Daphnia pulex: one gene and its partner. The protein of the gene in region 2 interacts with the protein of the main gene of each other region in a biochemical or structural test. Links are inferred from orthologs where the notes say so. Each region holds a gene or a part of one and is shown on either strand. Other genes may lie near its edges. The genes, in order: 26S proteasome non-ATPase regulatory subunit 2-like and ubiquitin-protein ligase E3C-like.

The links.
Region 1: the proteins of ubiquitin-protein ligase E3C-like (region 2) and 26S proteasome non-ATPase regulatory subunit 2-like form a complex in vitro, tested with the Homo sapiens proteins (2 studies listed by BioGRID). The link is inferred for Daphnia pulex from reciprocal best matches to the Homo sapiens genes UBE3C and PSMD2.

The regions. Positions count from the first base shown.
Region 1 is NC_060024.1:474,273-480,883, reverse strand, and holds the start of 26S proteasome non-ATPase regulatory subunit 2-like, read right to left. Parts: upstream 3,846-6,611; 5' UTR 3,722-3,845; coding exon 3,608-3,721; intron 3,526-3,607; coding exon 3,182-3,525; intron 3,120-3,181; coding exon 2,727-3,119; intron 2,659-2,726; coding exon 2,514-2,658; intron 2,445-2,513; coding exon 2,234-2,444; intron 2,170-2,233; coding exon 1,936-2,169; intron 1,854-1,935; coding exon 1,540-1,853; intron 1,475-1,539; coding exon 948-1,474; intron 598-947; coding exon 392-597; intron 321-391; coding exon 25-320; 3' UTR 1-24. Other genes in the region: pre-mRNA-splicing factor 18-like, read right to left, coding at 4,724-4,954, 5,028-5,191, 5,254-5,383, 5,446-5,622, 5,696-5,856, 5,928-6,069, 6,280-6,342. UniProt on the Homo sapiens protein: Component of the 26S proteasome, a multiprotein complex involved in the ATP-dependent degradation of ubiquitinated proteins.
Region 2 is NC_060018.1:1,402,814-1,409,424, forward strand, and holds the start of ubiquitin-protein ligase E3C-like, read left to right. Parts: upstream 1-2,929; 5' UTR 2,930-3,067; coding exon 3,068-3,187; intron 3,188-3,254; coding exon 3,255-3,732; intron 3,733-3,794; coding exon 3,795-3,948; intron 3,949-4,014; coding exon 4,015-4,211; intron 4,212-4,275; coding exon 4,276-4,433; intron 4,434-4,499; coding exon 4,500-4,648; intron 4,649-4,713; coding exon 4,714-4,955; intron 4,956-5,022; coding exon 5,023-5,222; intron 5,223-5,280; coding exon 5,281-5,467; intron 5,468-5,531; coding exon 5,532-5,768; intron 5,769-5,828; coding exon 5,829-6,073; intron 6,074-6,134; coding exon 6,135-6,350; intron 6,351-6,413; coding exon 6,414-6,542; intron 6,543-6,604; coding exon 6,605-6,611. Other genes in the region: DNA excision repair protein ERCC-5-like, read right to left, coding at 1-92, 168-1,487, 1,622-1,832, 1,898-2,100, 2,158-2,252, 2,312-2,392, 2,478-2,565. UniProt on the Homo sapiens protein: E3 ubiquitin-protein ligase that specifically catalyzes 'Lys-29'- and 'Lys-48'-linked polyubiquitin chains.

The DNA of each region.
Region 1 (6,611 bases), on a different chromosome or scaffold from region 2:
TCTTCAGACATCTTGGGTGTGAATTTAATCGACCTTCTTTTTTCTGAGGATGACGAACCCTTCCATGATGGGGGTCAATGAAACGTAGTCTTCGGTGGCCAATTCGGCACGCTCGCCATGAGCCAAGAGGACGGGGGTCGTGTGCGTTTGGAATCCCGTGATGGTCTTGGGCTTGCCGGCCTGTCCCACCACGTCAACGGCTTGACCGACCCGGACAGAGACGGGCAGCGGTCGCAATTCCTCGTCAAAGGTAATCAGCATCCGCGGCTGGAGGGAGGCGGCCAATGTGTACAGCAGATAGTGCGACTTGCTCAGAATAACTAGAACAAAAAAAAAAAAAAGAAACCCATTGATTAACTGGGCGCTTTAATTGTGCTGCGAAAGTGATTACTGTTTTTGACGTCGAGGCAAGCGATAACAGTGGAAAGCAATCCGGCGACGGCCACCGGATTCATGAGTTGCCTTTCGCTGTGATAGGGCTGCAAGGTCAACGTGCCTTTGCCCAGATGTGTCAATCCCTGAGCCAGGCGGACCATAAACAGGGCGTTGGAATCCTTGGCGTGGTACTGGGCCAGTTGGCGTAACATGGCGGCCAATCTAGAAAAAGAGGAAAGTCAAGTGATGAAACCGGATGAGCCACTAAATTAGCTACGGAGAAACAGACGAGCGAGTGGATCATGACACATGACATTAGCCTTCAGTTTTGATTTCCTTCGTTAAACATCAATTAACTGCCAGCTCATTCATCGAATCAGTCAGCCCATCACACTCAACATGACGGACCACCAGACGTTTTCAGGAAACCACTAAACTCTCTAAAGATGTACTACTAACCCCCCCGCCACCCGCCACCAGCCAACGAAACGTCGTCTCATACCAAGGATGTTCATGTTACATTGTCAATAACAACAATGACGGGATACTAGGAGGGATTGTTGTTGACGTACCTGGCATTGTTGGTTCCGGCACCCACTAAACCGAGGGCCAGGATGCTGTTGAGGGCCACTTCAGAGTCGGAATCGTGGGAGAACTTGGAAAGTGTATCGAGGACATTCAAACGAGGATTAGAGACTGAAATCAATCCCAGAGCGAGTGGCACGGCTCGGCGGATGCAAGGCTCTCCGTAACGCAGCAAATGACCCAACGTGCGGAAGGCCATTTCGGCCCCAATGTCCTCTCCCATGCCAATGAGCGCAAGACCAATGACAGCCACGGCTTGCTGAGATGACAAATCCGCTTGGGCGCCGGAAGAGGCGGCAGCAGTCGAAGTGCCTGTTGCAGAACCTGCTGCTGCTGCTCCGGCAGCCGCCGCGGCACTTTCATCTTTTTTGACCGCCGTTTCTTTGCTCTCTTTCCTGTCTTCCTTTTCCTGGGGTTCGTGGTGCTCGCTGCAAATGTGGAGCAAACGCTGGACGCGTAGAACGTTGCCCGTCCCCGCAAACGCGCACACTTCAACCATCGTGCTGGCCATGGACTACAGAAGGAAATGGTGAGCAACTTTCCAAGAAAAAACAAATAAAAGTATTCAAACTACATTACTTTGAAGGGTTCGGCTAGAACTTCCAGAGCCAAAACAACGGCCTCGACGGCTTCTTGCTTTCCCAAATAAGTGAGACCCAATCCAAGAGGTAGGAAACGAGAGAAGGTATCTTTCAATTCCACTTCGCTCTTCTCCATGAGTGTTTGAAGCAAGGCTGAAGTGACGTCTCCGTTACACGATGCCACGGCTACTAGGCCACATGCAAGGGCGGCGACACCCACAACTTCCATCGACGACTTGGGATGTGAGAGGACAGGGAGCAGCAAGCTGAGCACGTCGTCGCGATTGGAACCAGCATATGCCAGTCCAAGACCTGAAATAATTACAAAATATTCAGACATCACTAACTCATCCCTCCAACTGTCACTGTGAAAACCAAAGAGGACAAAACTGACCAAGAATAGCACCAATCCTCATCACGTTGCTGCTATGTAAAACATAGTCAGAAAGAAGAGCCAAGGCAGGATCGCACTCGTTACGAACGCCAGTGTTGACAATACCGCAGGCTAGCAAGGCGCCCGCTTTAATGTATTCTTCCGATGAGTAGAGGTATTTGTCGATTTGCGTTAGACCACCATCAACATCCCATAAGAGCAGCAAGCCCAACGAAGCTGTTGCACTCAACATTCCTAAGAGAACAATTTGGTGAGTACAAACGGTTGCAAAACAAAACAGAATAGTCAATTCAAATACCGTGTTCCTTGTTTTTGTAGAGCCACTTGTTCCCGTCTTCCATTAGAAGTTTGTCCTGGCCAAAGGCGGCATTGACCAATCCATTAACGAAAGACGATGCCAAGTTCTGGCGGGCCGAATCTACTTGACCACCACCAAACGCAGAACGAGAATTGTTGTCCAGATGAGATTTGTAGATGTCCTCGGGGGTCTTGGGTTCCATGATGTCCAGCTATTGCAATATCATGCAGCATTCAGATTAGCAAAATTTGTTGACGAACGAATCCATCTCAAATATTACCTCTCGTGCCAGCGATAAGAAATGGTTGTTTAAGTGGGTATTGGACATGATTTCAATCAAGTCGTCGTAATCCTCCAACTCCTCATTGAGCTCAAGAAATATCTGTTGCCGCCCCAACATAAATGCCAACTGTTTTCGCATAGTTCTGAAAAGAAATATTAATATTTAAACCGTCCACGAATGTGCTTTGTTACACAAAGTAAGTTAACTCACCCGTCGTTACAAGCCAAAAAGACTTCTTCGATCAGTGCATGGTCATTGATCTGCAGAGCCAGCCTAAGTGCTTGTGGCCACTGTTGGAATTTACGGAAAATGGAAAGCGCTGTTTTCAAAAGGTTAACATTCTCGGGATCGGGAACATATGGAACGCAGCTGCTGAGGTAAAGGCAAACCCGGTTGTGGGCAGCTTCATCGACGTGTTGCTCCAGCATGTCCAACTGCTCAATTTCCATTAGCAAGTCGCATGCTTCGGCTTCAGCATTGTGAGTCATTTGAAAAGGAATAATTTGTTCAACAAGAGCAGACAACTGAGCTCTCTTTGCTTTGCCTTCATCTCCTTCAAAAGGGATTTCATCCCATTCCTGGGCAATTTCCCCTGCTAAATGCCTGAAATGAGCATGAAAATATTAAAAAGTTGACCATAACATTCCAAATCAAGAATTCATTACCTAACATATTCATGGCCCCATTCTACTAGTCCTTCTTTGGATCCTATCAAACGATATTGAAGGCATTCAGTTCCTTCAGTGTTTGTCATTGCCAAAACTGATATGATGTCAGCACAAAGGGCTTTGGTGTTGGGATCAGTAATTTTTTCGACAATTGTTTTCAAGACAGCATAATGAGGACGCAAGAACTTTAGGGGTTTGGGAACACTTGTCATTGAAGTAGTAGCAGCACAAATAAGTGTACGCATGATTTCTAGAGAGGGCATCCATAAGGTAGCATCATTCTCCGTCAACCTTTCAATAACCATATTCAGCTCATCTTGGAGCTGCTTATCTTCTTCAGACTACATGAGAGGAATTTGACAAAAAATTGCAAACTATGATAAGACGTCTTATTTGAAATACTGTCATTTTAAAGTGTTATACCAGTTCTTCTTCTTTCGGCGTGTCTTTAGCTTTTCCCTTTTTTTCCTTTTCATCCTTCTTTTTTTCTTCTTCGCCGTTTGGTGCAGTTTTCTTAATTTCTTTGTCAGCAGTCATTTTCCCTTTTAAACTGACTTGTCGTGATTGAAAATTTTACGATTGTGTGTAATATGACGAAGCTGTTTCCGCAAGCTGAAAACAGACGAAATAGACATATAAGCCGGGCTATGCTTCGTTGCCAAATGAGAATATGTTTGCAATAAAAAATTAAAGTTGTTTTATAACTAGGAATAAGTAATAATTTAATGAAATTCACAAAGTTTATTCTTGTAAAATAAACTTGCGAGAGAAATCTTTGTTACTTACTTTCCATTTTTATTACGTTATAACTAAATTTTTTTGCTGCCCAAAAATGTCGCCAGGAATAGGACAGGCAGGCGACAGGCCGTATAAATTATTTAAAAAAAATAAAAATCAGTTCTCTTTAAAGTTCTTTAAGATTTTGACTGTGGAAAGCATTATATGAAAAATATGCGATTTTTTAGAGAAGGAGGCCAATGGTATTATACAGCCTTTCGATTTCTCTACTGCTTGACAAGCCAAAGTTAGGTTAAATAAGCCCGCAAGTTGTAAGTGTTTTATTTAATGTTTCTAAACTATTATTTAGTTTAGCTGTTTCTGACGAAAAAATCATAAATCCAAATTCTAAACGAAATTATGTACTTACTTATATAAAACCATTCATGTATGTTATCACCTCATTCAATATTATATAGACACAAAAAAGACTCACTGATTGATTAGAAAAAAAACGACACTGTAGCGCGAATATCATCCAGCACAGGCAACATTCACCTTATCTAGTTATTTCCGCATATATTAGTTAGGCCTAATAAAATCCATATTTTCATGTGTCCAACACTAATAGTCTAATAGAAATAAAATTAAGTGCTGAATACAAACAAATTTAAGTGCTGAATTAAAACTGAAAAAAAAAATTAATAAAATGTTTCATCAGCGAGGAACTTCGTTTTTATATTTACAACCGTGAAGACACGTAAACAAATGTAATGTGCCCGAGGCAAACGTAGCAGTACATATTCGTCGTCTCGAAACAGCTTAAAATTCAAGCTCTGTCGCTCCATATTCCACACAGCGAGACGGATCGGTAGGAAAAAAGTACTGGCACTTTGTCATCAGTCTTTTCAGCCCTTGGATATATTTACGTTGAGTTTCATCGTTCAGAACATGTGCAACGTGTTTGGAAAAAATTTTCTCTCGACCTGTACGTGCGTGAATACCAACCATGGTGACACCGATAGGCCATGGAGCATTACCAATAGCCATTTGCTAAAAACAAAATAGAAATAAGACGGCGAATCAACATAAGAAGAACGATAGATAATTTTCACCGACACCTTACCAAGTACGCATCATTTGCAATGACGTAATTTCTGTCAAGTAAATGGCCAACAATAATGGTTAAACTGTCGAGAATATCGTCCTGGATACTTTTATTGCGGAGTTTCTTGAACAGTGGCTTTAAGTACTGCTGCGTCTGACCGTAAGTTGCTGAAGCTCGTTTACCTTTAACATACAATGGTTAGAAACAACCCAACAAAGAGATTATCAACAGGAAGACACAATACCTTTTACGCTTCTTTTTTCGGCTTCGGGACGACTATTAAGTTTTTGACCCCAGATTTGAAGCAGCAATCTAAGTAGTTGGCTAATGATTTTCAAATCCAAATCACCGTTTCCTTTTCCCAAATCTTTCGACTAAGAGAATAAATTTTGTTAGGAATATACAAAAATTTCAAAGTAATTTAAATTGCTCTAACCAATTCTAAAATTTCTTCGTAACTAATTGCATCTGCGATGACTTTTACGTCACCAGCCTTGGGCTTGCTTGAACCATCATCTGACTGGTCATCTTCATCTTTTTTGGTGGCAAGAATGTCATTCAGATAAGCCTCATCTACTCTTTCCATAGCTTCTTGGAAATCATTACGAAGACCCTAAAGATCATAAATCACAAAAAATATTGATGTTTTTTGCTGATATACAACATTTTTCTGTAAGGATTGTTACCCTGTTGATTTCAGGTTCTGAAATTTCCAATTTTCTAAGTCTTCTGAAAGCCTCAATGTCTGATTCACCATACAGAATAATGGGTTCATTTCTGTCACGCAATCTACGAATTACTTCTTTTCTAGGAAGAACCGCCACAGTTACTCCATCTTCCTCTAGAACTAGAAAAATAATAACAAATAAAAAAAACATTGTTATCTCTGAAAATGTTATGTAAAACTTTTTGGAATACCTCCTCCTTCATTATCAGCTATTCTGCTAGGGCCTTGTCCATCAGACAGCTTAACTGCAAATGAATTTGCATGTTTTTTTATATATTCTTCCTTCTCTTTCGCAACCAGATCTCCACGTCTGAAGTATTTTTTGCTTGAAGGCTAAACAAGAAAGTTGATGAGTATTATGTAAAATTTCAAATAATTTTCCACCTAACATTATTTAGAAATACACAATTCGATTGTTCTATGCATTTCCATCTGTAAATGATTATTTGAAACTATGACAATGCACAATGAAAATGAATCTGTTGTTTTGAGTAAGGAATTATATTTTTAAATATACAACGATCTTGATGAAGCCCAACTTACCATAATGTCTTTATCTTGCAGCATTTTGCGCTTGCGTTCCATTTCAGCTTTCAAAAAATCCATCTTAATAGCGTTTATATTTTTCCAGATTTTCAGCAATCAAGATTCAAGATCAACAACTTTCGTCGTAGCACAGCACCATAGACTGCGAAGTAAACTGCATAAAGATATGCTTGAGTATGGCTTGAGACTATGAGAGTGCCACCAGAGGCCCAGAGGCCAGAGCCATAGACAAAGACCACTGGTTGATGCTGTGCTATCCTTTTAGCCCTATCCCTACTGACCCCGAGCTCCCGTATCGATTGTAGTGCCTCTAGCGGACAAAGTACTGT
Region 2 (6,611 bases):
TGAGTTAGACCAGCTTCGTCCAAGAAAGCGCACTGCGCCTCAGCTTCCATTGGAGCGACTAGATAAGGAATTCCAAATAGCCTCAGCAACTCCTACAATACAGCATTCTAATGTGTAAACATAACACCACACTTCTATAGCTACGGCATCAAGTAATAGAATCATACCTGAGATTCTGAATACATCTGGTCTGTAATAGATGAAGCTAGGCGTTCTTGCCGTCCATGTTCCTGAATTAAAATCGACTGCTCTTCGTTGATCACTCTTCCCATCTCTTCAAGTTCTTCTTTTCTCTTGGTTGTTATTGTGTGCACTACTGGTGATGGTGGCTCACTTAACTTCGTAGTTTTAGGCGAAACTTCAAAAGCCACTTGAGATCTTGAATTTTCTCCTGTTATTTCAACATTACGAACTTCAAAGCTACCTTCAACATCGTTTTTATTGTGAGTATCTAGCATTTTCGAAGTTTCTTCAATGGTAATAACTGAGGAAGACTGGGATAAGTTGTCACATTGGACAATTGGTGGTGGTTCAGTGGAAATTCTTCCTATAGGGATAGGAGGAGACGACACATGTTCCTTGACGAACGCTGAATTTTCTAATAAAGGTTTTTGCACCATAACATCAATTACTTCCGACAAACTGTGCGGCTGCTCAACAACAGTTTTACAGTCAACGAAAGAGTTTTCGTCGCTTAGTTGTAAATCCGCTCCATGAGTTACTTGTGTTATTTCCGATAATATCAGAATATTTTCTTTTTCAAGAGTTGTAGTGGTTGAGCTCAATACTGTTTCTTTGCTAGCGGCTATTATGGACTCTGTTGATTTGCATGACGTAGTGTTATCCACAGGCACAACAAAAACATCAGGTTCTTCCATTGACGAATCCTTTTCAACTGAGCTGAGATCATCCGATTGATGTGTTGGTTTTTCAGTTTTCGAGGGAACGGCAGAGGTAAATATATCAGCAAACATGTCGTCTTCTTCAGCTATTGCAGGATTGATCGGAATATCAAGGATGACTCTATTCCCAGGGTATGGTAGAGCTGATGGAACTTCTTCGAAATCCGAATCTTCGTCAGACGAACTAATACACATTACTGGTTCCTTTTTTTGTTCACTTCCAAATATTGCGAATAACTCTTGTTGACTAAATCCATCTTCATCCACTTCCAAAATTTGTTCGGTGGCTAGGTTCTCACTAACTGATGCGACTTTTATGGGCTGCTCTATTACGTTCGGGTCGGTGGCTTTTTTTGGTCCAATTTTTGTCGGTGACGTAGAGTGTTGTAAAGCTTTTTTAATCAATACGTAGTGAGTAGAATTGTCAGAAGCAATTTTGTGTGACTCAGCTACGTCTCCTTGATTTAATGCAAACTGTTCATGATTCTGTTGACCGATTTCTTTTACCACCTCATTCAGACGCTGTTGCAAATTTCTTCGCTTCAACAGCCTTTCCATTTGAAATCCAGAAAAATCATCAGCCTCCTGCATTTAATAAAATAATCCAACAGCGTTGAAACGATTAGATAAGAGAAGTCAAAAGAAGACCACGGGAATTATGATCCCCCCTCTCCCCAAAAAAAAAGAATAAGCAGCAGGAAACATGCTACCAAAATTACCTGGGGCATTTGGTGAATCCTGTTCCAGGAAGATTGCTTACGAGTGTCTCGCAGTTCCAATAGAATTTCATGTTGTATTTCAGTTGGCAAAGCAAGGAAAGCTTCACTTGTAACATCTACTGAATGTATGTTGTGACCTTTCATATGTAAAGAAATTGCGCCCAGATTTCCATTTGCATCGTCGTCAAAATCTGATTCTGAAGAATTGTCCCTAAACATCAACATTGTTATTAAAATGTTAAGAATTTCTGTGTCAAAGAATTAACAAAAATTTACTCAGTGTTTTGATTTGGAATTGGTGGAAGCTCAAATAAATCAGGTTCCAATTTTTTCTTTTTTAACAAAGGAGCTCCAGATTTCCCTTTATTTTTGCCAAGTTGTTTATTGATAACTTCTGACTTAATATAGTTTGAAAGGATTTTCTCTGCAACCATATCATTGTTCTTAACAGCTGTATCTCTCCTGTTATGACGTGCAGCCTAAATTGTATTTTATGATTTCAAAAATTGTTGAGTAACATGTAAAAATAAGTGTACCATGGTTTGCCGTTTCAGTACTGGAACCCCTCCATCAAAAACAAATACTGGTTTGATTTTGAAAAACAATAGCTTGCAAAGACGGTGGCATAAGCCTGATGAGAAGATGAATTAATCTAAATTAATCAAATAATGGCCTTGTGAATTGAATTACCCAATAAGTGGGCATTTGGTAATGGATTTCCTTGGGCATCCCGGAAACCTTTAGTTGCTTGATGAAGCCAAATAGACACATCTAAACAAATAAAAATAAAAAATGATATTTTATGATTTGTTTAGAGTGAAAACAGCATATCTCAACATGGTATTGAAGAACTTACCAACAGCGAGAACTTTATTCTCAAGGGTTTCTAGCGGAACAGGTTTGCCAACCGGTTCTAGTAGATTCCACAATCCATGAACTCCCATCTTTGAAATCACAAATTATCTCGTAAAAGTTTTCCTTCATTCAAAAGAAATTACTGCTCTTACAGATGAGACAAAGTTGTCTCACGGCATGCTTGTTTTCAAACAGAAATCGCTTGGAATATCTTCTGCTAGAATGGACAGAATTGTTTAGGTTGTGTTCACTAATGCTTCACCAGAGTTGGCTGCACTAATTCAATATAATAAAGATATTAAATGGTCTGAAAATAAAAGAGAATATTTTACGGTTTGTGTTTTAAACTTTTAATTGCTTTTTGAAAATATTCCCTGTATCTCGCGATCCGCGAATAGATTTTCTGCCATTTCACCTGTTTATAGCTTGTTATTTTAATTATGCAACATCGTAAGTTTAGTCATTCTTGTGAAAAACGTCTGCTGTTCAGTTTCCCAAAGTCACCAATTTATCACAATAAAAGGATAAAGGATCCAATTACGGCAACTCGCAAATAGTCCACAAGACCTGGATCGATTCGTTGTTTTTGAAATGTTTAGTTTTGAGGGAGAGTACAGGCGAAAACCTGTCCAAAGTTTGGGAGGCGCATCAAAACATAGTCAAAGAGACATTTTTCTCCAGAGAACACAACTAGAAAGGCAAAAAAGAGAAGTAAAACAAAAATATTGCATTTCAACTCAAGATCATTCATTACTAACCTACTTTATTGCTAATGCAGGATTTACGTCGACAAAACCAAAGTGCTGTTATCATTCAAGCTTTTTTTCGAGGTTGCCAAGCTAGATCCCTTCAAAAGAACATTCAACGACAAGAGTTTGAAAGAATACAGGCCACCAATTTCCAAAATATTAACTTACAACTCTTGACATCTTTGATCAACAAACTTAAGTTCTTCTTTGATAAAGAGAAAGATGCTAACAAACTTGTGTGGCTATCACAGCTGGTGATAAAAAATTCACCTAGCATAATGAAGCAATGCCAAACTGAGAAACCATTCACATTTAGCCTTGCTCAATTCCTCAGCTTAACTCTGTGCTACATATCTGATACTATTCATTTACCAACTGGAGAGAGCAAAGGGTCCCACTGGAGGGTCTTGGAAATCTTCCTCAATGCAGAGGGCTGGAGAAAAAGTGTAGGAGTTCAAACAGCTGATATGATTTTGGGTTCAATATTTTTTTTCCTGTCTCGAAAAGGTAACATTCTCTCCTTGTTATCACAAACTTTTTTTTGCAAATAAAAATTATCTTTATTTTAGGTTATTTTACCCAGTTACGCCAGATTGTTGATGTTAAAATACCACCTTTAGTTGAGCCCACCACAAAGGCACCAACCCCTCTTTCTGGTTGCCTGTTGGACTTTATTTTTCAACCCCTAGAATTTGCATCGGCGACAATGAATATAAATAATCGGTTTGAAAAAGAATTTTTCTATTTATTATCCCACTTTTAAATTTATTTAAATTTATTTTCGTTTAGTAACACTGTAGTTGCATCCTTTAGCCGAGAATTTCTGGAACCAGCGTATTCAGAACCAATCACAAATTTCATTCTTCCGTCTTTGAGGCAGAATAATAACAAAATTCCTTTGTTATGTTTGCTTCAAAACAATGAAGCTTGTGCAAGAAATCCGTGGCTTCTTCATAGCATTCTGGTGCTGGCAGATGGACACCCTGGTAACTTAAGAATTCAGTTAACATTCTTGATTCTATAAGTACCAACGATTTCTTCTTAAAATAGAACTTAAGGACGATAGAGTGCTGTCATTCTACGTTGCCACAGTAAGTCGTTTAAGCGGATGTCTCCAATTCATGCAAACTGCTGAAGTTCACGAAGACGACGACGACTCAGACGAAGAAGATGTACAAACTAACATATTTAAAGCTGCCGAACAAGAAGTAATAACCTTGAAATATCTGGTTCATTTCGCAAATCAGTAATGTCATTTTCCTTGATTGCTACAGATAATGACTCGTTGCTGTGAGTTACTTAATAATATCAATACGGTACATGTATTGGTAACAGCCCTGCAAATCCCTGACGTTCTACCAGATTTGTGTGTCGTTGGTCACAATCTGTTGCTGTCTGATCGATTGGCGCTCCACAAGTGCAGGTATAGCAATACATAAATTTACTCGTCTTGACTCTGTAATTTTTAACCGGCGCCATAATTTCTAGGCTACTTTATACGTTGGCTTTCAAACCTTGTTATCTGCAACAGTTGTTAGGCCATATCAAATCAGAAAAGCAAGTGTCGCTGTTTGGTTCATCGGATACGTCCTTGGTTCAACTTTTGGCGAAAGGTGTTCATCTGGCGCATTCGGAAATTGACCGAATCGTACCCGTGTTAGATGTTTTCTGTTCACTTTTCAGTCATCTTTTAGTAACGTTGGACGACTCCGAATTTTACAACGAATCGGGTTCGTCTTCTACATAGTTTTTTTCGAAAATAATTTTTAACTTAGCAATTTATTGCTCATTTATTAGATCCAGTTTCTGGAGCTATGCCGTTCAGCCTAACTGAAGTGGTCGAACTGGCTTCTATATTGCGTGACGTTTGCCTTGGATTGGTGGAACTTGCTTATCCTGATACTCGCCCAAGCACCTCCTTCAACTTTGTCAAGACCCGTACTACTTCCACCGGTAACACACAAGAAGATACCCGACTGTGGATGCATCTGTTCAAAGTAAGGCTAATTTATTCAATACATGGACACAAAATGAGTGATATACCCTTCATTGTAGTCTACAGTGAATCTCGTCAGCCAGTTGCACACAAGAGATACGCGCCGACCGTTCTGTCCTAGTTGGGTTTGGATAACTGGAAGAATTGCCCTGCCTTTGGAGAGGAATGGCCAGCTGTCTTTCCGTAGGCAAGGCAGACTTCACCGTCCGTTTAGGGCTATCCGACCATTAACCAGGAATGAAATTGGTAATTTTTCCTTCGTGTTGACACTCTAAAAGAGTATAATTTACTTAATAATATTTCTTAGTAGAAGAGGAAGGTAGTTCTATGTTGTCAACAAGAGAGGTGCGAACCTTAGCCATTCTGCGTGAAATTCCGTTTGTGTTCTCGTTCACCGATCGGGTCAAAATGTGGCAGCAATGGATCCTCAATGATAAAATGCAGCAACAGGGAGAGGCCAATTTCCTTCGAGGTCCATCCATTCAGGTCATGATTCGCCGGAATTATATTTATGAGGACGCTTTCGATAAACTTTCCCTTGAAAATGGTGAGTTTCATTCACAATTCTGAAGGATAACAGAAGATTAACTGAAATTTATCTTGACAGAACCAAATCTGCGATTTAAGATGAGAGTCCAGTTAACGAATGCTGTAGGATTGGACGAAGCCGGAGTCGATGGTGGTGGTATATTTCGTGAATTCCTGTCAGAGTTGCTGAAAACGAGCTTCGATCCGAATCGCGGGTTTTTCCGCTTAACACACGATAACTTGCTCTACCCTAATCCCGGTGTGGCTGTCCTCGTTTCGGATTTCCCAGCCCATTACTACTTTATCGGTCGTATGCTGGGAAAGGTGGGATTGAACACAGCTTCTTAATGCTTTATGGTGGTTCTAATGTCGTGATTATCATTAGGCTTTGTACGAGAATTTGCTGGTGGAATTGCCGATGGCGGATTTCTTCCTCTCCAAGATCCTCGGTCAGGCCAGTGCTAGTTTAGACGTCCATCATTTGGCTTCCTTAGACCCAGTACTTCACAAGAATCTTCTTTATCTCCGCCATTATGATGGTGATGTCACCGAACTAGGACTCGATTTCACCATAGTGAGCAGCGAATTGGGCGAAACGAGGGTAAATTAGTCGAGGAATATCTTTCCACGGGTTTCTTTTCAACCAACGACTTTCTCTATTTAGGTGGAAGAACTGAAACCGAACGGATCCAACATTCCCGTCACGTCTTCAAATCGTATCGAATACATCCATTTGGTGGCGGACTACAAACTCAACAAGCAAATCCGTTTGCAATGCAATGCATTCCGCCAGGTATGATGTGTGATTTTTCACTGGTTAATTTGCCAGTCATTCACTGTTCAATTGCGTCGCAGGGATTGG